Astyanax mexicanus: one gene and its partners. The protein of the gene in region 3 purifies or fractionates together with the protein of the main gene of each other region. This does not show direct contact. Links are inferred from orthologs where the notes say so. Each region holds a gene or a part of one and is shown on either strand. Other genes may lie near its edges.

What was found. The genes of interacting proteins can lie anywhere in the genome.
Region 1: the proteins of cav1 (region 3) and potassium voltage-gated channel subfamily A member 5 purify together in Homo sapiens (affinity purification with western blotting, with the first as the bait; 3 studies listed by BioGRID). This does not show direct contact. The link is inferred for Astyanax mexicanus from reciprocal best matches to the Homo sapiens genes CAV1 and KCNA5.
Region 2: the proteins of cav1 (region 3) and trpc1 purify together in Homo sapiens (affinity purification with western blotting; 3 studies listed by BioGRID and IntAct, with this or other methods). This does not show direct contact. The link is inferred for Astyanax mexicanus from reciprocal best matches to the Homo sapiens genes CAV1 and TRPC1.

The regions. Positions count from the first base shown.
Region 1 is NC_064409.1:16,659,945-16,667,295, forward strand, and holds potassium voltage-gated channel subfamily A member 5, read left to right. Parts: upstream 1-4,345; 5' UTR 4,346-4,787; coding exon 4,788-6,353; 3' UTR 6,354-6,644; downstream 6,645-7,351. UniProt on the Homo sapiens protein: Voltage-gated potassium channel that mediates transmembrane potassium transport in excitable membranes. Forms tetrameric potassium-selective channels through which potassium ions pass in accordance with their electrochemical gradient.
Region 2 is NC_064413.1:50,847,535-50,854,976, forward strand, and holds the start of trpc1 (short transient receptor potential channel 1), read left to right. Parts: upstream 1-4,235; 5' UTR 4,236-4,506; coding exon 4,507-4,672; intron 4,673-7,442. UniProt on the Homo sapiens protein: Forms a receptor-activated non-selective calcium permeant cation channel. Forms a heteromeric ion channel with TRPC4 or TRPC5 that has reduced calcium permeability compared to the homomeric TRPC4 or TRPC5 channel.
Region 3 is NC_064417.1:17,838,266-17,845,657, forward strand, and holds the start of cav1 (caveolin-1), read left to right. Parts: upstream 1-4,182; 5' UTR 4,183-4,255; coding exon 4,256-4,288; intron 4,289-5,951; coding exon 5,952-6,119; intron 6,120-7,392. Other genes in the region: cav2 (caveolin-2), read left to right, coding at 576-726. UniProt on the Homo sapiens protein: May act as a scaffolding protein within caveolar membranes. Forms a stable heterooligomeric complex with CAV2 that targets to lipid rafts and drives caveolae formation. Mediates the recruitment of CAVIN proteins (CAVIN1/2/3/4) to the caveolae.

The DNA of each region.
Region 1 (7,351 bases), on a different chromosome or scaffold from region 3:
GTTAAAATTTTCTGCTTAACCAACCAATTTAAATATGAGACAAACATAAATATACAAAAAAGTAAATATAAAAAGATTTTAAATATATTTTTAAATGATAATTTCATTTATTAAGGGGGAAAAAATCTATTCAAAGCAACCAAACTGGCCCTAGGTTACAATATAATTGACCTCTAAACCGAATAACTTGGATGTGCCACAGCATCTCAATCAGATTTTAAGTTGGCCACTCCAAAACCTTAATTTTGATGTGCTTCGGATCATTGTCCTGCTGCAGAACCCAAGTTTGCCTGAGTTTAAGGTTTCAAACTGATGGCTTCAGGATTTTCTGGTAGAGAGCAGAATTCATGGTTCCATCAATTACAACTAATTGTCCAGGTGCTGAAGCAGCAAAGAAGCCCCAGGCCATCACACTACCACCACCATGTTTGACCATGTTTTAGTATGATGTTCAGTGTGCTGAAATTATGTGTTAATGGTATGCCACCCATCTGTAACAGAAAACACATCTTCCAAAAAAGTTCTACACTTTTCTCTTCAGTCAACAGAATATTGATGATCCTGGGGATTATCAAGATGTTTGTTGGCAAATGTGAGACAAGACTTTGTGTTCTTTTTTGGTCACCAGTGGCTTTTGTGTAATGTGTAGAGGAATATACAGTGCTTTGAAGAAGCATTTGCCCCCTTGCAGATTTTCTTTTATTTTTGTTCTTTTTTGGTCACCAGTGGCTTTTGCCTTGGAACTCTCGCATGGATAATATAGAAATACTACACTGCCTGGCCAAAACAAATGCTGCAGTTGGTCAGGTTTAGGTTCAGCAACAGTATGTGCTGAAAGAATGAGGTCAGCTGACTACCTGAATATACTGAATATAGACCAGGTTATTCCATCAATGGATTTTTTTCTTCCCTGATGGCATATTCCAGTATGACGATGCCAGGATTCATTGGGCTGGAATTGTGAAAGAGTGATTCAGGGAGAATAAAACATAATCTTTTCACATGGATTGGCCACCTCAGTGTCCAGACCTTAACCCTTAGAAACTACTTTTTATCCTTTTCCAGAGTAATAGATTTCAATTACCTCAGGGAATAATGTGTTGCTTTTTGAGATCTTTTATCCTCCTTATTGTTGTCAGACATAAAGCATTGTTGATTCTACAGTTCAGGCTAGGTTGTGGCTTGTGAAAATGTGGTTAATTACAGTTAATCCATTGGGGGGTCAGTTACTTTTTCCACCAAGGGCCAGGTTGGTTTATGTTGCTTTTTTCATTTAATTATAAAATCATAATTTAGAAAATGTTTTTTGTATTTACTCAGGTTTAAAATTAGTTTGATAATTAAAAAAATGTAAGTGTGGAAAAAAGAAATCTGAAAGGAGATGCAGTGGAACTGTGTTCTCTAGAATGATGGTTCTCCATCTAATATTTTCGGTGTAGGGAAAAGTATGTGATACCTTTGGGATTACTTAGATTCCTGAATAAATTGGTCATTAAATGTGTTCTGATCTTCTTCTAAGTCAAACACACAGTCTGCTTAAACTAATACCACACAAAAATGATATATGTTTGCATGGGTTTATTGAACACAACATGTTAACATTCACAGTAAAGGGGGGAAAAGTATGTGAACCTTTGGATTTATATGCAAACATAATTTTTGTGAGGTATTAGTTTAAGCAAACTGTGCTTGTCTATTGTTGTGACTTAAATGAAGATCAGAGCACATTTAATGACATTTAATTTATGCAAAAAAAATTCTTGCAACTATATATTCTGCTGTAAAGATTTGGTTGCACTACTAGAGGGTGTTGGCAAGCTTACGGCAAAACCTAAGAGCTCCATCGTTCCAGAGAACACAGTTCAACTGATCCACAGCTCAGTGCAGGATTTGAAGACCACTACTTAAAAACAAGTGATTGATTAAATTGAAAGTTTTTGGGGGGATACCAGAGGACAGTATCTTTGCATGTCTTCCAAAACATCTATCAAAATCTGATATTGATATTATAAATAATACAAATTTGTACTGCGTGCAACAAGAGACTAATCAAAGACATGTTGGACATATTTACTTACATGACACAAAGTAAGAAAATGTTTCCATAATACCTTATAGTTGTGAATTTTCAACCAGTGGCGACTGCTTGTTACAGTCTTATGAGTTTCAGTTGCGCACATAAAGCATAGAGCATCTCCTTAACAACGCAGAAATGCAGTTTCCTCAGATGGCCTGAACAGAGCCGGGGGGGTCATGCAGCATGTGACTCACTGGTCATTTGGTCTGAGTCATGTAGGTGCTGTTCTTCTGTTCTCTAGTGCATTTAGACTGTGTTATATGTGCTGTTGCTACGTTTCCATGCTTCATTCCTATGGGAATGGAGTACAGTACAATTACAGTACAATTAGATCTCCTGTAAATACAAAACAGTGGTCTTGTTGATGTTCTGACTGGAAGCTGTGCTGAAAAACTGCTGTATAGCCTTGGTCATCGTGCTGCATCTCAGTTTTAGGGGGTGCAAGCAAACTTTTTTATAGCCTATGCAATCTTTGTGGAGAGCAACAATTCTGTTTCTCTCATCCTCAGAGAGTTTTCTTGCCATGATGTTCCATGTTAAATATACAGTGGCCAGTATCAGAGAATTGTACCCAAAACCCAAATATAAAACATCCCTTCTCCCCATTCACACCTGAGATTTTGTAACAGTTAATGTTACAATAGGAAAATATCTAATTGGACACAATTTGGCCATTTTTACTAACTTTTGCTTCCAGCAGTTTAGACATTAAAAGAAACAATTTGTAATAAATCAGAGCGAGTGTGTTAGTCCAACACTGGATAGAGTCTTCAACCACTCATCCCCATAGGTGAAGCTCACATGGGTCGCCAGTTTGCACACAATGGCAAGCGATGACATGTCTGACTCTGCAGCAGATCAGTCAATATAGAGTATATGTTTCAGTGTCTAAAATACCCATTTCTAGTACATTAGTGATTGTAATAAATTATCTAGCTATAGTAAGCAACCTTACTGAAGCTCAGTGATTACATGTTTAGAAGAAAAATAATCAGCTCGCCCATTTCCATGGCTGCAGAAAACTATTATCTATACCTGGAAGCCCTGAGTGTGGAAATGGGAATGGTGGTAGGCAGATTCCCACACGGTGGAAACCACATCCCGCACACTTTTCCTTGATGTGCCTCACAGTTAAAAAAAAAAAAGAAATTCTGTTGAAGCTCTGCTCACAAGAGCTGCCAGAGCTTTACCTCAGCATGTTTACCTAATATCTGCTAATACACCCTGGTGATATAATCATTAATGGTTCTTTAATAGCTGTGTGTATGTATCAAAGTATCATATCTTCAGTGTTTCATGAAAAGATATCATATAGGGCTCTGAGTCATCCAGCGGACTAAGGTGCTGCCACATTGGTTGGGAGACCTCTGGTTCGAATCCTGTTCATGTAGCTTGTCATCAGCCAGAGCCCTCAGAGAGCACAAATGGATTTGCTCTCTCTAGGTAGGTAGACGGCACTCTTATCCCTCATCACTCCAAAGGTTGATGTCAATCAGCACAAGGCGTCTATGAGCTGATGTATAGGAACCTGAATCGCTGCGCTGTCCTCGGCAATTCTGCATCAGCAGTAGCTCGAAAAGAGTCGGTGGCTGACTTCACATGTATTGGAGGAGGCCTGTGCTAGTCCTCACCCTCCTTGTGTTGGGGCATCACTACTGATATGGTGGAGTCCTAATGAGTGGGTTGGGTAATTGGCCGTGTAAATTGGGGAAAAATGGGATAAGAAAAGATATCAAAAAATATTTGGAAAAGTTTCAGGGGTGTGTTTACTTTTGGGAAATACTGTATATTCAAAGATAAAGACATGGATAGAGTGAGAGACTAAAACACATGGGTCTCACACACACACACACACACACACACACACACACATACAGCATTTGATGATGCAACTTAACCCCAGGCATGCCCATGTTCACCCATCCGTGAATGAATGCTGCCTTAGCGCACATGCTGCACATTCAGACCCAATGAAAGAGCTGAGAACAAAGTGTGCAGACTAACTCACTAACACACACACGCACACACACACAAACACTCACTGAACGAGCGGGCTTCTATTAAACAAAGTGGTTGGTCCTAATGTTCTGACAGGGTTCAACCAGTGCTGATCCATCCTCAGTGGTGAGAAGGTGGGCACAGGTTTATTCCAGAGCCAAAAAAATGAAAATGAATGGCTTTGGGGGAGGAGTTGTGAGGACCACCCTCCACCCCCTCTCTCTTTCACTCTCTTACTCACTCTCTCTCTCTCTTTCTGAAACAGAGGATTCCCTCTCTCTGGTGCGCGCGCTGAGCCAGCCGCCTGTTGTTGTGTGTGTGTGTGTTTTTTTTCTCTCTTTTTTTGACGTCAGTAATCATCGTTCTTTCTCTCATCCGGGTCTTCAAACTCTTCAATCTCTCGTGCTCTCGTGGTTATTTACTTTACTGAGCGAGCGCGCGCTGCACAGCTTAGTCGCTCTCTTGCTTGCTCTCTCGTTCCACACTCTCGTACGAGCGCGCGGGCGTACGCACGCACGCACGCTCGCGCATGCATACATATACACACACACATACATACACGCGCTGGTGACACTGGAGAGCGGCGGCATCAGCAGCAGGAGCAGGAGGCTCGTGCGTGCGTCCGTGCGTGCCGCGTGCCGAGGGACCCCCCGGCTCTCGTGCAGCTCTGCCCCTCTTGTTCTCCCGCACGCTCTTTTTTGATGGCTCGGGCATGGAGATGGAGATAGCCCTGGTGAGCTTAGAGAACGGCGGCGCGCGCACGGGCTCCCCTCGCAGCCCTCCCCCGAGCCCGTGGCGCACGGAGCCCAGCGCGCGCCTCTTTGACGATGACACGCTGGATGAAGCCGCCGCCGTCGCCGCGCTGGACATGGCGAGCGCCGAGCGCGTGCTCATCAACGTGGCGGGCCTGCGCTACGAGACGCGCCTGGGCACGCTCTCGCAGTTCCCGGACACGTTGCTGGGCGACCCCGAGAAAAGGATCAAGTACTTCGATCCCCTGAGGAACGAGTACTTCTTCGACCGGAACCGGCCCAGCTTTGATGGCATCCTGTACTATTACCAGTCCGGAGGCAAGATCCGGAGGCCCGTCAACGTGTCCATTGATGTCTTCGCTGATGAGATCCGCTTCTATGAGCTGGGAGATGAAGCCATGGAGCGCTTCCGCGAGGACGAGGGCTTTATCAAAGAAGAAGAGCGACCGCTACCTGAGAACGAGTTCCAGCGCCAGGTGTGGCTTATCTTCGAGTACCCCGAGAGTTCCAGCCCTGCTCGGGCCATCGCCATCGTCTCCGTTCTAGTCATCACCATCTCCATCGTCACCTTCTGCTTGGAGACTCTGCCGGAGTTCCGGGATGAGCGAGAGCTGGCTGCGACCAGCAGCAGCAGGACGGCAGAGACCAATGGAACTCGCTCCAGGCCTTCGCTAACTTTCGCCGACCCCTTCTTCATCGTAGAGACTACTTGCGTCATCTGGTTCACCTTTGAGCTGCTAGTGCGCTTCCTGGCATGCCCAAGCAAGTCTGTGTTCTCCAAGACAGTCATGAACGTCATTGACGTCATGTCCGTCATGCCCTACTTCATCACGGTTGGCACGGAGCTGGTGGAGCAGCAGCACGGCCCAGAGCACGACGACGTCCAACAACAGCAGCAGCAGCAACAGCAGGCCATGTCTCTGGCCATCCTCAGGGTCATCCGACTGGTCAGGGTGTTCAGGATCTTCAAGCTGTCCAGGCACTCTAAAGGCTTGCAGATCTTGGGGCAGACTCTCAAGGCCAGCATGCGGGAACTGGGCCTGCTTATCTTCTTCCTCTTTATTGGGGTCATACTGTTCTCCAGCGCCGTCTTCTTTGCAGAAGCTGATGAGCCTGAATCGCACTTCTCCAGCATTCCCGACGCCTTCTGGTGGGCTGTGGTGACCATGACCACTGTAGGTTATGGGGACATGAGGCCGGTCACTGTTGGGGGCAAAATCGTAGGATCCCTGTGCGCCATTGCTGGCGTATTGACGATTGCGCTCCCAGTGCCTGTTATCGTGTCCAACTTTAACTACTTCTACCACAGGGAGACGGACCAGGACCAGGCCTCGCTCAGGGACGATGGCGGCCGCGAGAGTCCGTCGACCGTGGGGTTGGCAGGAGAGGGGGACAACGAGGCAGGGCTGGATAACTCGCCTGCAGAGAAACCTAGTGTGAAAGTGAACAGCAGCAGCAGCAGCAGTGTGGACATTAAGCGTTCACTGTACGCATTCTGCTTGGACGCAAGGGAAACGGACCTGTAGGTGTCGCAGGTCATTGACCGGTGCACCACAAATGCAGGTGCAAACATCAGACTACTTTTTTATTTTGTCTCTAGGTCTGTCTAAAAAGAAACCAAGTTCAAGACAAGTCCTTTTGCACAATCGACTGTTTTATCAACAGGTTGCTGCAGTCTTATAATGGTTTTATCAATAATCATATATTAAAATAGGACTTTAATATAGAATTCAATAGCCTGTTATAAGTCAAAATGTGAGGATGTGGTTGATGAAGAAAATCTGGATTTGACTTGAAAGGCCTTAACTGAGCTGGCACCACCTCCACCTTCACCTCCACCAGTGTGTGCACTCCTGTAACATAGCTGTAACATGTCCTACAACTTATATGTCCTACATATTCAACTGTTCAACAAAAACAAAAGCCAACAAGGGTCATTTCATTTTCGTAAAAACACCCAGATCTTCATCAGTCTCTTGTTTACTGCTGCTTAAATTCTCCTTGTTTAAAAAGCATCAACAATAAAAAAATGTGTACATATTTCCATCATCATATCGTATCAAAACGTTCAAATCGAGGAACGGGTTGCACACAAAGGTTTCCTGAAGCACACTTTGATTATGATAATGATGATGGTTTGGATAATGTGAGATCTGTAGTTTTATAACCCTTAAATACTCAAAATTCTATTGCATATTATACATTATTTATTTATTTATTTATATGATGAAAAAAAAAACACTCAGACCAAGGCACTTCACACCAAGACTTTAAGGCAGATGCTTGGATGGATTTCACTGTTGATTTCCTGAGGACTGAGGTGTCTTATCTGACCTGGAACTCAAAGTTTTTGATGGAAGATCTGGGCCGAGAAGAAAACGGAGAAAAGCAGAAGGAATTCAGCTGATGGGGCGATGCTGTGCAGGGGAGAGCTTTTTCAGCACACCAGTGCAAAATGCTGGTCCTCAGAGGGTGCAAGACATCTTCAAGAGGAGCACAAAGAGCAAAGGTCAGTGGCTTCATT
Region 2 (7,442 bases), on a different chromosome or scaffold from region 3:
TACATTATAATAATTACTTATAATATAATAGCATACAAAATAAAATGCATATATTACATATAACAACACTAGCATACTAGTATACTTGCAATAATGTATTTACAATTTATTTCTATATTAAGCAATTACTGTAGACTATAGCAGGAATATTATTTCGAGGAAAGTATTCTAGATTTTTATAAAAGTGTACTATAGATACTAGCTCTTTTATAATATAATCTGTATTAGTAACAGTACATGAACAGTACATACATGCCACTCAGAATGACCTAGAGCTGTAGATGAACCATGGCAGGTTGTTAAGCACTGCCATCTACTGCTCAAAACACTTACTGCATCAGTGAGGTCAGATACGGATGTTGGATGGTTAGTTCAGAGTAACCAGAAAGAAGAATTGGATGAAGCCCCGTTATATACATAAACATGAATCTTTTGGTATCAATGCCTAATGCCAGATGTGGGCTAGAGGGGTATAAAGTGGAACAGTGGAACTGTGTTCTCTGGAACAAAGGCGTGTACATTCAATACTTTTGGAATAAATTGTGTAAAAGAATAGTATTTTCTGGACAATAGAGACACACTACATTCTATTTAGTACCATTAAATTTGAATAAGACAATGAATATGCAAGCGTTCCATTAATTTTTCCAAAATAACTTATCACTGAACCATCACCTAATACTTTTGTCAATGCAGCGTTTTATTGGCCCCCAAAAGAACCAGAGCAAAGCAAAAAATTAGATGAAACTGGTCCAGTTGTGTCTTATGTCTCATTTTACCAGGGTTCACACTGATAATGAAATACAGTCTCAGTCAAACGTGTGGACACACCTTTTCTTTCAATGTTTTTATTCATTTTTCCTACATTATTCATAAATTAATACTGTATTCATCATGAAGGAGTGCATAATGAATCATGTAGTAATGTAAAAGCATTAAACAAAACAAAATAGTCTGTGAAGCATTTAGGTGCTCTTATCTGGGGAGCTTTTAACTTGCTGTTTCTGAGACTGGTAACTCTGATCAACTTATGCTGTGCAACAGAGGAAACTCTTGTTCTTTCTTTCCTGGGGTGTTCCTGATGAGTGCCAGTTTCATCATAACATTTTTGATGGTCGTTGTCACTGCGTTTAAGAATACTCTGAAATTTCTTGAAATTTTTCGGATTGACTGAAAGCTGTTCCAGGTGACTACCTCATTTTCTCTAGCTGACTGAGGAAATGCCAGGCTGTGCAAAGCTGTCATCTAAACAAGAGGTGCTACTTTAAATAATCTAAAATGTTAAAATGATGAAAAGCACAGAATATAAGATATTACCAAACATTTGTCTGGTAGTGTATATATACTATTTCAAACTAAGGCCTGAATTAAATTGTCCATTACACATTAGTATCTGCAATACTAAAATAGCACTCTGATGGGTGGCTACTTTGACACTTTGAAGACTTTTTGACATTTAATTCTGATGACTGCAGATCTGATGCTCTAAAGCCATGTCAAGCTTGTGAGCCACTGTCAACACAACAACTTTAGCCTATGGCTGGTGTTTAACAAAAGTCAGTTTACATCAATATCTTGAGGAGTAAGTGCAAATGGTTGGCAGTGGTAATCAGAGGATGGGTATTGTCTATAGTTAAGATCAGAATTAACCCTCTAATTTGCAGTACTGACAGGTACAGCAGCACTAAATACAGAAGATATGAGCTTTCTGATACAAGATTTTACAGAAAGAACGGCCAAACATTAATACACCACTGGTGGACTCAAGGGGGTGCAGGGGTGGCAACCACCCCTTCTTGGTACACCCATGGTTAAAAAAAAAACAAGGATCGCTTTTCATGTCTTTTAGATGACCAAAAAAGGGACAAAGTGGCCTATTGTGTGCCCTTCTTGTGAGAAAAGTGATTCAGTGCCTGTTTGGGTGCCCCTTCATGAGTACATTAAAATAATGTGTCCACTAGTTCAAGAAACGTTAATTATATGTCTTAATAAGTGTGTATATACAGGTGCCCTTCTGCCCTTCTAATAGAAAAATGTACCAATATGAAGGGTCTTCTATGCCACCCCTATTAGATGGTGCCCCAAAGGATGCCCTTTTCACTAAATGGAGATCATGCTGAAATAAAAAAATGCCTACCAGTGGATTAAATAAAATGTGGTGTCCTATAGATTTCCATTATAGTGGGTTTAACGGTATCTGATTGTACAAGACAAATTAAATTGTTCTGGAATATGATACAGAATTTATAAACGCATTTCAGTTCTTCAAATTGCATACGTTCCATTTATCAGTAGTTTAAGCCACACCCCTTTTAGAATATACAGACACCACATTACGCAGTGTGTGCCTTGTTATAAGTTATAAATAAAGTACATAACATTGTCTCATTACAAAAGAGCATGGGATGAACAATATATTAAATGTCAATTTAAAAAGCTTCAAAACAATCCTCTCAGTCTGTTGAATCCAGCCACACCTCAGTGCAAGAAGAGGGTGATAATTATGAAAGCTAATGAGCTGAGGGGAAGTAGAGCAGAGGAAATGAGAAACAATGAAATTTACATTTGCTGTCAAGCTGAGGCCTGAGAACACTGCAGTAACTCGTACACAGCAGTAGAGGGCAAACCCAAGCTTATAGAAGATGAAACAAATTGTTTTATTCAGTTACACGACTGTATGTCCAAAATAGTGAGTTTGCCCTATTTAAATTGATATATTTTGCCCCTTTTAGTCCTCTAGTTGCGAAAAAACAAAATGCAACAAGTATGACTGGACAGCACTTCACAGTACAGATGGATAATGACCAAAAACATACTGCTTAAGCAAACCAGGAGTTCTTAAGGCACAGAAATGGTATAATCTGAAATGGCAGAGTCAATCACCAGATCTGAAGCAGATCAAGCAGCATTTCACTTACTATAGACAAAACTAAAGGCAGAAAGAACCACAGACCAGCAACAACTGAAGACAGCTGGAGTACAAGGCTGGCAAAGCATCATAAATGAGGAAAAATTTGGAGATGTCCATGGGTTTCAAAACTTTAGGCAGTCATTGCCTACAAAGGATTTTTTTAACAAAGTATTAAAAATTAACATTTTATTTACAATAAAGTTAATTTGTCCAATTACTTTTGAGCCCCTTAAATGAGGTTTGTAGAGAAATGGTTGTAACTCCTTATAGGATTTTTGTTAAGCCCCTCGAATTAAACCTGAAAGTCATTTCAAATTCATTGTGGAGGAATGCAGAGCCCACTGACACAAAAGCAATATTTTAAATATTTTAATTATGATTTTGATTTGCTATAAAGTATATATACATTCAGTATAACTATATAAACAACACATAATTATGCTTTATTTTCTTATTTTAATTATTTTAAAAAGTTTGAAGACAATAGAGATGTGAGTTATTAATTTATTTGAAATATATACAAACAGGACAAATCATTGTTTTCATATTTATAATCTTTAAATTATAATAAATACAACTATAATCTATAAATCTATAGTATATTAATATATCTTCTAAAAAAACACGATATACACATTTATAATCCATAAATCTATAATCTATAAATATATGAGTTATACATTTATAATCCATAAATCTATAATCTATAAATATGAGTTATACATTTATAATCTATAAATCTATAATCCATAAAGCTATAGTTTATAAATATATGATAAATACATTTATAACCTTTAAATCTATAATTTATAAATCTATAGTCTATAAATCTATAATCCATAAATGTATAATCTACACGTATGTAGTCTATAAATCTATAATCTACAAATATATAGTCTATAAATCTAATTCCTATAAATCTATAGTCTATAAATCTAATTCCTATAAATCTATAATCTACAAATATATAGTCTATAAATCTAACGTCTATAAATCTATTTTCTATAAATATATAATCCACAAATCTATTTTCTATAATCTATAATAAATAAATCTATAGTCTATAAATTTAAAAACTAGAAATCTATAGTGTATAGGCTATAAATACATGCGATTTACATTTATAAATCTATAATATATAAACAAAAATATTATATAAATACATGATATATACACTGTATGAATAGAATATAAATTAAATACATTCATTCTACAATATTCTATGTATTTACATCTGTACAATGTTCTACTGATCCTCAAGCTGTTCTTATGTAACGACCCTTCTGTCCCCACAAACAGCAGCTGCGCATGCGCAGAACCACCATCGTCCCCATCACTAGCATCCTCCTCCTCCTCCTCTTCATCCTCTCCTCCTGATCCTGGTCCTCGTCTGTCTGACCCGGGCTGCGTTGGGCTGCTGGGCTGTTTTAGCCCCGTGCGGACCGCGGTGTTCCCGGGGGGAGATGCGCTTGGTTCCCGGGCCGCACCTGCTGCTCCTGCGCCTTCCCAACACGTAGCCGAGCCCCGCGGAGGGCCGGCCGCTCGGACGGGCTGCCTGCCTCTCTCTCTCCCCGTCTCAGCGCGCTCCAGCTGGGATGCACATCAGCGTCCTGCCCTGCTCCCTCTCCGTGGTCATGGCTGCCGGATACCAGGCCCCTGGCGCCTCCGCTCCGGACACCTATCTGGCGCTGAAGGACGTGAGGGAGGTGAAGGAGGACACCACGCTCGACGAGAAGCTCTTTCTGCTGGCCTGCGAGAAGGGTGAGTGTGTGTGTGGGCGAGCTGGAGGCCATGCACAGACATTTGGGGGACGGGGGGGTGTTGTGATATGGATGGGCTTGCATCAGGACCAGCTGCATCATATGATAAAAAAGGACCTCCTATATATAGGTGGTCCATACCTAGCCTACATAGAATTTGTTGGTTTGTTTGTTTTGTTTGTTGTTTACTGTCCATATCTCAATGTTTTATACACAATAAGAGGACAGAGATTAATGGAAGTGATGCTCCATTACTTAAAGCCCCCCTGCTTAATTGCATAATTTATTGCACACAGCTTACGAAAGCATACATTTAAAACATGCATTGTGGTGCAGTCCCTTTTATCTCACCAGCTGTGTTCACTTATTTGGTTTAATGATGCATGGATACTGGAGAAACTATGTGCCAAAACTCTTGCATCCGGACTGCAATGAAAAAATAATAGGAGGACCAGTGAGTTATTAGGCTTTCTCGGTCACGACATGGCGTTCAGTAGCTCCTCCATTTCCACTCTTCTGCTGTTGTGTTTATGTGGATCTCCATGTAAACGTGCGCTCAAAGTGTAATTAAGGTGCATGGCAGTGGACAAATAGCTATTTAAATAAATGCGAGGTGAGGAAACTTAGAGATGGGAATTCGGACGGGACTAAAATTACCAGAGGACTACGGAATACAGTGAATAACAGTAGATAATTCAGCCTGTAATTTTCTCAGAGGATGTCTGAAAATAAATTAAAAAAAAAAAAATCAGAGGACCCCCATAAAAGAGAAACTTACCCTAGGACCCCCTGAGAAACTAATCCCATGCATATAGGGCTTTGTTGTTTTGAAATCTTCATGTTTGCAGTAGCTCTTGTATCAGAACCATTAGCAGCACAGTAAGTCAGGTAACCAGAAAAAGCTATTAAAGCCAGAAAAATGTCAAGAACACCAAAAAATGGCTGGGCAAGCTGGGAGGCATATAAACTGTAGAAGCTGCTGATATTTTGTGAATTATCATGTGATCTTTGTGGTGTTTGGATGCTGTGAAGAACTTAAACTGTGGGTTGAGCCTAGAGCTGACTGAATCGGTTCACAAATTGAGATTGAGATGCATATTTTAGTCAATGATTTAAAATATTGTTTAGAAGCCCATGCGTTGATATAAGGCTCTGATCTCATGTATACACAGCCTCAGGGAAACTCAGAGACGACACAGAGTTCTCCTTAGACACTGGATTATATTTCAGAACGTATGTTTGTGCTGAAAACTGAGAAATAAAGCAGTTATCGGGTCACAAAATGTTTTGCTTATTATTGAGTCTTTTCTACAGTGGATTAATCACAGGTCCTCACCGAAGAGCGATGACGCTGCAGCTTTTACAAATGGCAGGATTTCTTTCTAGATCTTTCTAGCCATATACGGTATATGGTTTATTCTGATGGATTAAGAATTATAGTACCAATACTAAATAAATAGTGTATTGTACCGATTTTGATGACAAAGTATTTCTAGTACCTTTCTAGTATCGGTATACTAGTATACCATGCAACACAAGTCTGCGTATACTTGACACTCATTGGTTTGTAGAGTTTGTCTGAAATCGGTGTGCTGTCAATATGGCGATCAAATTTTGATCCTTTAAGTTGAACTGTAATTTATGGCACTTTTTCAGAAAATCTAGACCAAACAAGGAAAATGTGAAAAAAAAGTGGTGAAAAAGTGTCTCCGCACTGAGCATGTGGAAGAGTACTTTTAACACATGCATTGTGGTGTGATCCCCTTTCAGATCAGATTATTCTGATCATTGCAAGTTTACATAATATTCAGAGAAAGCTCAGTCAAAACATGAAGAAATGAAGAAATGTCTTCAGTGGATATAAAATAAGAATGTACTGTTTAAATATAATATCTTTTGGATAAATATATGACTGATGACAGACCAATTCTTTGCTAGTCAAATTTTCTCTCATGCATGCCACAAAGTGGTTCACTTCACACAAAACTGCCACACAAAAGCGCACAAAACATGTTGTAGGTTTGAAAGTTCTTCAGAGAGAATGCAAACGGCAACAAGCTCACAATCTGCACAACCCGCAAGGCCAAAGTCAGCCATAGAGAAACAAATGCCAAAATATGTGGAGTGAGAAAATAAAAAGAGAGTTGAAAACACACCATCTCTCTGCTGAATTTACTGAATGTTGTCATCTGAAGAATGCATAACACTGAAATAGTGGCCAATTTCTACCAGAGTTTTGTAATCTAATATCAAGCTACACCTGCTTGATATTATAAGCCGGTCCCGAGCCCATACAAAAAAATAAGAGACCACTTAAAAATAATGGGTTTCTTTGATTTTACCAAATTGAAAACCTCTGGAATATAATCAAGAGGAAGATGGATGATAACAAACTAAACTGAACTACTTGAATTTTTGCACCAGGAGTAAAGGCATGAAGTTATCTAAAAGCAGTGTGCAAGACTGGTGGAGGAGAACATGCCAAGATGCATGAAAACTGTGATTAAAAACAGGGTTATTCCACTAAATATTGATTTCTAAAATTTTAAGAATATTAACTTGTTTTCTTTGCATTATTTGAGGTAATTTCAGCCATTTCTCATTTTCTGCAGATACATGCTCCAAGTTACAATATTTTTATTTGGAATTTGGGAGAAATGTTGTCTGTATTTTACAGAATAAAACAACTATGTTCATTTTACTCAAACATAAACCTATAAATAGCAAAATCAGAGAAACTGATTTAGAAAGTGGTCTCTTATTTTTTTCTT
Region 3 (7,392 bases):
ACAGAGAGCTGGCACCAAAACCATTAGACAATACAGGAAGCACCTGCTGTGAAGGCTTAATGGCCATGCTGATGTTTATAAAGCACCGTTACAGTTATCTTAATTTACTGGACCACAGAGATGAGAACAGCTGGGGTGAGGAATAGCAATGGTAATATAATGCCTCATTTAAAGTAAAGTATTATGACAATGATAACATAAACCCTTAAGGGTAGTTTGTCATAACTTGCAAGTAAGGTAGGTTTTGTTGCTGAACATGCCCAATAACTACTTACCTTGACAGAAAAGGCCCATTTAACTAACGAGTATTTCTTACAGCCACTGATGTGTTTTTGTTTTGGAAGAAAGTAGTTACCTGTAGCTTGGTGAACACATTTTCTGACAGACTGCTTAAAGGTTTTGAATAGAAGTGCATAGATACAGAAATATGTGTGTTGGATGGTTCTGGTAAAATTTAATTTTAAATAAAATTTAATCATTCGGATAAATCATTTGAGACGGATTAATATAATTAAAGTGTAAAAATATGCAACTGCCATGTAATGTACTGAAGTGTTGTCCTCTGTTGTGTGCAGGGTAGTGATGCCCCTCGTGCACAGCTGCATGATGGCCCTGCCGTCTGTCCAGGTGGTCTGGGCCAGCCTGATGGACATGTTCACTGGGCCTTTCTTCCACAGCTTCGGCAAGAGCCTGTCTTCCATCAACATAAAGACTGTGCAAAACTAAAACAGATTTAAGGAATACTCCAGTGATTTGGCATAATCTTTCTGTAGGCCACCTGTAGCATAGAGTTGAATAACACAGACAAAAACTTTTTTGTAGCACAAATAGCACTTTGTCAGCTTTGAGACAGTGTGTTGAAACTGACCATAGTCTACTGATACAGCAGTTAAAACACTGGAGTATTCCTTTAAGTCCTATTACTTTCAGACCAATTCCTTTAACAACAGATGTTCTCTATGACATGCTTTCTTCTACTTGAGTGCCTGAGCTTAGACATTACGCTCAGACCTTATCAGCTGCACCTGATGCACCCTAAAATCAGCTGTTTGTTTTGATCTAGGTTAAACCATATGTATTGGCTTTCTAGTAAGATGATGGCATGTCATGTATTAAAAACAATAGCAAGGTTAAAGAAAAGGAAGAAAATATTTTTATTTCCATATTTGTTCACCAGACAAAACCTGACTCCTGTTTCACAATATCAGTAGTGAAAAACAGTTGCTTATTTAAAACGTATGTGTGATTAAGCTTTTATACTGTATATGAGAAATTACATATGAATGTACTGACTGAGACCTTATTGTCTGTTTATTCCCTAGTGTACATTAGTATATAAATGCTGAGGTGCAGCTTATTGCATTCTTTTGCATGCTTATTATTTAGCTAGTGAAGAAATGATGCTACTGCATAACAAGAAGCAAAACAGGGAACAGAGAATAAAATAAAACTGGTGCCAGCTACATCCTGCTGGATAGTAGCTCTTTTGTGTTTTCTGTCTAAATTAATATTTATTAACAATAAAAGAACATAGGGTGTATTACTTTTATATTTTAGAGATATCCTTTGTTAAGTTTATTTTTACACAACATTGCCTTATGTGCATACATACTGTCTGAGCCTTTAGGCGTAGGCCTCAATGACAGATTGCTCTGCACACAAAGTTAACATTCCATAAAACATCAAGGACCATGATGGATTTTAGAGAGTAATTTATTCCTGCACAGTTTTTCAGACCGCTTGCCTTGCAAAGCTGCATTTGAAGTGCTGCCTGCTCTTTTTTAGTAGCTGCTCAGAGAAAATGGAAGGCTTGTTTGTGCAATGGAACATGAGGTGTTCAGGTGTTCTTTTTTCTTCCTCCTCCCTATTGAGTGATGTAATGTAGCAAAAATCCTGAGTGCAACAGAGCTCAATAAGAGAGAATCTTAGAGATCAGGGCCAAAAAGCCTCTCAGTTACTTTGCCAAATAAAGAAATATTTAAAGTGATACTCTTGTTTGTCTTTTTTTCATCTCATATCTGTGCAAAAATATTTCACCCTACCTCTTAGTTATCAGTTGTAAAACGGCACATGTAGAAATCTCTTGCCGTTTGCCTGAGGGGAGATAGCATATTACACAAAGTGGAATGTTCCATGTAGACGCCATAGAACCTGCCCAGAGTTCACTACGTACTGATATACACTGAGTTTTATGCGACAAAGAGCTGTATTCACATTTATTCCAGAGAGTCCATGCATTAAGATTGATTAATCCCTGATTAGTCAGCAGGTATGTAATTTTTGTTCACTTTACCACATAATGTTTTACATCTCTTGTCAACACATACCTTTCACTCACTGGAATATGTGAAAGCTAAAAACAGACTGCATTCATTATTTACCTTTTCTTCCAAAAGCAGTTTAGCCCCACCCATTCATAAAGAAATTTTAGGTATTTCATCCTGAGCTGACCTTTAACAGAAGCAGATTGTCAATCAAAGGGAATTTATTAGATTTAAAGGTACACAGGAAATTTGGCAGTGTTAAATCAACACTGTTAGTGTTAAATTAACACTTATTAGTGTTAAACTTTACACTCTCAGTGTTAATTTAACACTAACAGTGTTGATTTAACATTGCCAAATTTCCTGTGTACTATGCAGCCTGTTTTATCATAAGGAATAAAATGAACTTGGAAAACAGTCATGTAAAAATGAATTATGACCATTTCTGGTCTAAAACTTTAAAAAAAATATTGTAAGATTTTGGCCATTTAAATGGTTTAATTTTTACCATTGGCTGGGTAGCATTAATATCAGCACTATATGCTAAGCATATTACAAATACACTGTGTACAAATAAAGTTTCTCTCAACCAGCAATGCAGAATCAACAGTGCTAGTGAAAACAGCAATGTTCATTTGAGCTCTCATAATTACACTGTATAAACTGATAAAGGAAAATTTTACTATCTTTCTCTCCTTGATACCACACACACACACACACACACACAGTACTCTGAACAAAAGCCCTGTCTTTTTGCATGCCTTTGCATACTGGCCATAGAGAACAAATCATGTCAGTCTTCCATTGGGGTGTGTCTCCAAGACAAGACATGTAGAACTGAAGGAATGAAGGCCATGGTTTAAACTAGAATAAAAATGTTTTTCTTGTATATGAACAATTTGTGTACAAATTCTTTGAGTTACGGTTCTATAATCAATAGAATCATTGCCGTTAAGAAACATCATTTGAAGAACTGCCCAGTGCTTACATTTTATAGAGTTAGCAGTTTATTGCATAGTTAATCAAACATCAGTAATTAAACAATTTAGGGAGGGTACTTTCCAAATAAAATGTTGTCCACCAATACAGCAACCTGTACATTTGAGGGGGCAATAACATTAAATAATCTTTTCATAACTTAACCTTTTAAAATAGAAGAAAATTATCTGTAAGGTGGATTAATAAAGGTAATGAAGCACATCTTTTGAGGACACTGACACTCTTAATACCAAAATAAGTATAGTTCGGTACCTTTTTTTACATTTTTTTTTACATTACCTTTTTTAAATATATCAAGGTATCCAAACAAAATAGTACCAAAACTTTGTAAATATGAATGAATGTTTTTACTTCTTACCTTAAAACTAGCATGTCTGTTTTAGTTACAAATCTTAAAAATGCTGCATATAAAACCACTGTTGAGACTTATGCAGCATTAGCACTGAATACATTTAGTAGCGCAACCCCTCCATTCACTTGGGTTATTTACCCTGAGTTAAACCCTGAGCTTCACATTTACTTTACAGACTTAAGGTGAGGTTTTACATGTGTGCAGCTTCTTTAGCATCTACAGGGAGCAATTATGGCCCTGATTGGGGAAAATCACGTCAGTATATCCACCACTACCCCTGCTTGAGTGGCAGGCTAATGGTGGGTTAGGGTTTCACTCATCACAGAGCACACTTGTCCGCGCAGGTGACGGAGGCACAGTTGTGAGGCTGTGAGCAGCTCGGTGGATTCGAGCCAGAGGGATTTAGCAGCTCTGGACTGGAGTAAAAGAGAGGGGTTAATACATACAGGCGCTTGGTTAAAGAGGCAGAGACTGGGATTCAGTTAATGCTAGTGTTACTGCTCCTGTCAGTGTGTGTGTGTGTGTGTGTGTGTGTGTGTGTGTGTGTGTGTGTGAGGACTCAGTCGCAGCGCCTCCCACAGTGCGCTTCCTTTGGAAAGTCATTGTGCTTCAGTGTTCAGATCTGACTGCTTCAGACAGCATGACTGGAGGACTGAAGGACGGAGAAAGCGAGGTGAGTGCGTGAGGCTGCCGTGATCCTTTCTCAGCGCAGCCATTCCATCTGCTAATAATAATAATAATAATAATAATAATAATAATAATAATTGTTAATGCTTTAATTTTTTGTGTGATTTTAACTAGTTTAAATGAGAAGTTGTTTTTTTTTTTTCACTTTTTTCGTGCAGTTCAGAGTCTAATTCCAAATGACTCCACTTTTCGCAGGGTGAAATACAGTCTATCTCTTCTCTTATCGTTACGCCCCCACCTCCCTAAATTATGCCCCCCAATGCTCTCCTACCTTTTTTCCCTCCTCTGTCCACTATTGGCACCACCTCGCGCACTATGTTCCAGTTTCTCGTGCGTTATCTAGCTATTTTGGCTCGTTCTTTTCTTCAACAGGTTTCTCTCTCTCTCTCTCTCTGAATGAAGTATTTTGAGGTCAGACTCCACACTGTACAGATTACTCCACACTGTACTAGATACTCCACACTGTACTAGGTACTCCACACTGCAGTGGGTACTCCACACTGCACAACTACCCCACACTGTAGCTACTCCACACTGTACTAGGTACCTCACACTGTATTGGGTCCTCCACACAGTACTGGGTACTCCACACACTGTACAGACTTCTCCACACAGGACTGGGTACTCCATACACTGTACAGACTTCTCCACACTGTACAGACTTCTCCACACTGTAAAGGGTTCTCCACACACTGTACAGTCTACTTCACACTGCACAGATTTCTCCACATTGTACTGGGTACTCCACACACTGTAAAGGGCTCTCCAATCAGCAAAGGGTACTCCACACACTGTACAGTCTACTTCACACTGTACAGACTTCTCCACACTGTAAAGGGTACTCCACACACTGTACAGTCTACTTCACACTGCACAGATTTCTCCACACTGTACTGGGTACTCCACACAGTAAAGGGCTCTCCAATCAGTAAAGGGTACTCCACACACTGTACAGTCTACTTCACACTGTACAGACTTCTCCACACTGTAAAGGGTACTCCACACACTGTACAGTCTACTTCACACTGCACAGATTTCTCCACACTGTACTGGGTACTCCACACAGTAAAGGGCTCTCCAATCAGTAAAGGGTACTCCACACACTGTACAGTCTACTTCACACTGTACAGACTTCTCCACACTGTAAAGGGTACTCCACACACTGTACAGTCTACTTCACACTGCACAGATTTCTCCACACTGTACTGGGTACTCCACACAGTAAAGGGCTCTCCAATCAGTAAAGGGTACTCCACACACTGTACAGTCTACTTCACACTGTACAGACTTCTCCACACTGTAAAGGGTACTCCACACACTGTACAGTCTACTTCACACTGCACAGATTTCTCCACACTGTACTGGGTACTCCACACAGTAAAGGGCTCTCCAATCAGCAAAGGGTACTACACACACTGCATAGACTACTGTACGTGTTTACTCCACGCGGTATCAGCATGCAAATCTAGTAGAAGCTTCTCGTTGGGGACCCCTTGTGGCGGAACTCGGACCTCTGCTTAGAGAGGGGTGTGGTGCTGCACTTCTATCCATTTAAAACCATCTCATACCAGGGGTAACGTGCTGAGTCGCTCCTTGCTCTCCTCTCTCACGTTTGGAAACTTTTCTCCATTTTGTTGTTGTTCTCTCAGGAGTACATTCACTCTCCGTTCATCAGAAAGCAAGGGAACATTTACAAACCCAACAACAAAAGCATGGATAACGACAGCATCAACGAGAAGACCATGCAGGACGTCCACACCAAGGAGATAGACCTGGTCAACCGGGATCCAAAGCACTTAAATGATCACGTAGTAAAGGTAAACTTATTTCCTGTTTTCCTATTAGAAAAAATAAACATATTAACAGGCGTGCTATAGCTGTCATTTTTATATTTCTTATTTTAAGACATTTCTATTTTTACAAGAAATTAGCATAAACTAATTTTAGGCATAAACTAGTAGAAAGCTGCCTATAGATAACATTTGGAAGTTTAGTCTACTTTTCTTCTGTTTATTAATTAGCACAACATTAACTGTAAAAAGGGGCTTTAAATTTGCATGATTCAAATGTCCTAACTGGTTTTAATTTTTTGTTCCAAATATTTAAATGTGTCATGTCAAAACAATTCTAATTCTAATAAAGAATAAACTTCAAGAAAGCTGTGGTTCTGTTGATTGTACAATGTTTTATTCATGTACAATCACCTCACACTTTCAAATCGTGTAAAGCATTTAATATTCAGAGCTCCCTCTTTAGTGGAATTGTGCAACTCCAGCTGGCTGTGCCACAAGGAGCTGTAGCTGTGCTGTGGAATAGTTTTAGACAAGCCTGCAAAAGCTGCATGCACGGCACAAGTTTGACCTGAAGTTTTCTTGTGAGCCATTGACTACCACAGCCCTATGTCCTGTCTCTTTATCAGAATCAGTGCATGCTTGCTAACGCAGGTAACCTCTGCTCTGCACCGACCGACCCCCTGTCTAGTGATGAGCTGTCAGAACCTCAGCTCCACAAAGGAACAGAGGAAATATTTCAAGCTTCCTGTTTTCGCAGAGTTTTTGCTCCCAACATTGTTGACAGAAATTTTCCAGGGCGTGGAGGCATGCTGAGAGTGTGTCCAGCTAAGTTATGCTGCATCAAATGTTAAAAATGCCCATTTAACCCTACTGTATTTGCTTTGATAAATGTACACATTCTGCAAGTGAATGTGTCCCATTGCTGTTGCTAGGGAGTGGCAGGATATTTCCAGGGATAACCTGTGACCAGAGGATAGGGAGAAAAGTATCTGTTAAAGCACTGATGCCCCCTTTTTCCTTCTTTCTCTTCCTCGCCCTTTTTATGCCAGCGTGATTCTGACTCACTCTCCCAAACATGACCTCCTTAGAACAGAGAGGTTCTTATGATTTGTCCACTGATTGAATTCACAAGCGCATTGGACACGCAAGCATTTTTTCCGTTCTGGATTGGTCTGGAAACAGAGTGAATGGAGGCCGAGAGAAATCTTGCGGTCTTGCGTATGGGAAGAGAGCAGGGAATTCCCATCTATATTTCCACCATCATATTACTCACACATACACACATAGGGTGTTCCTC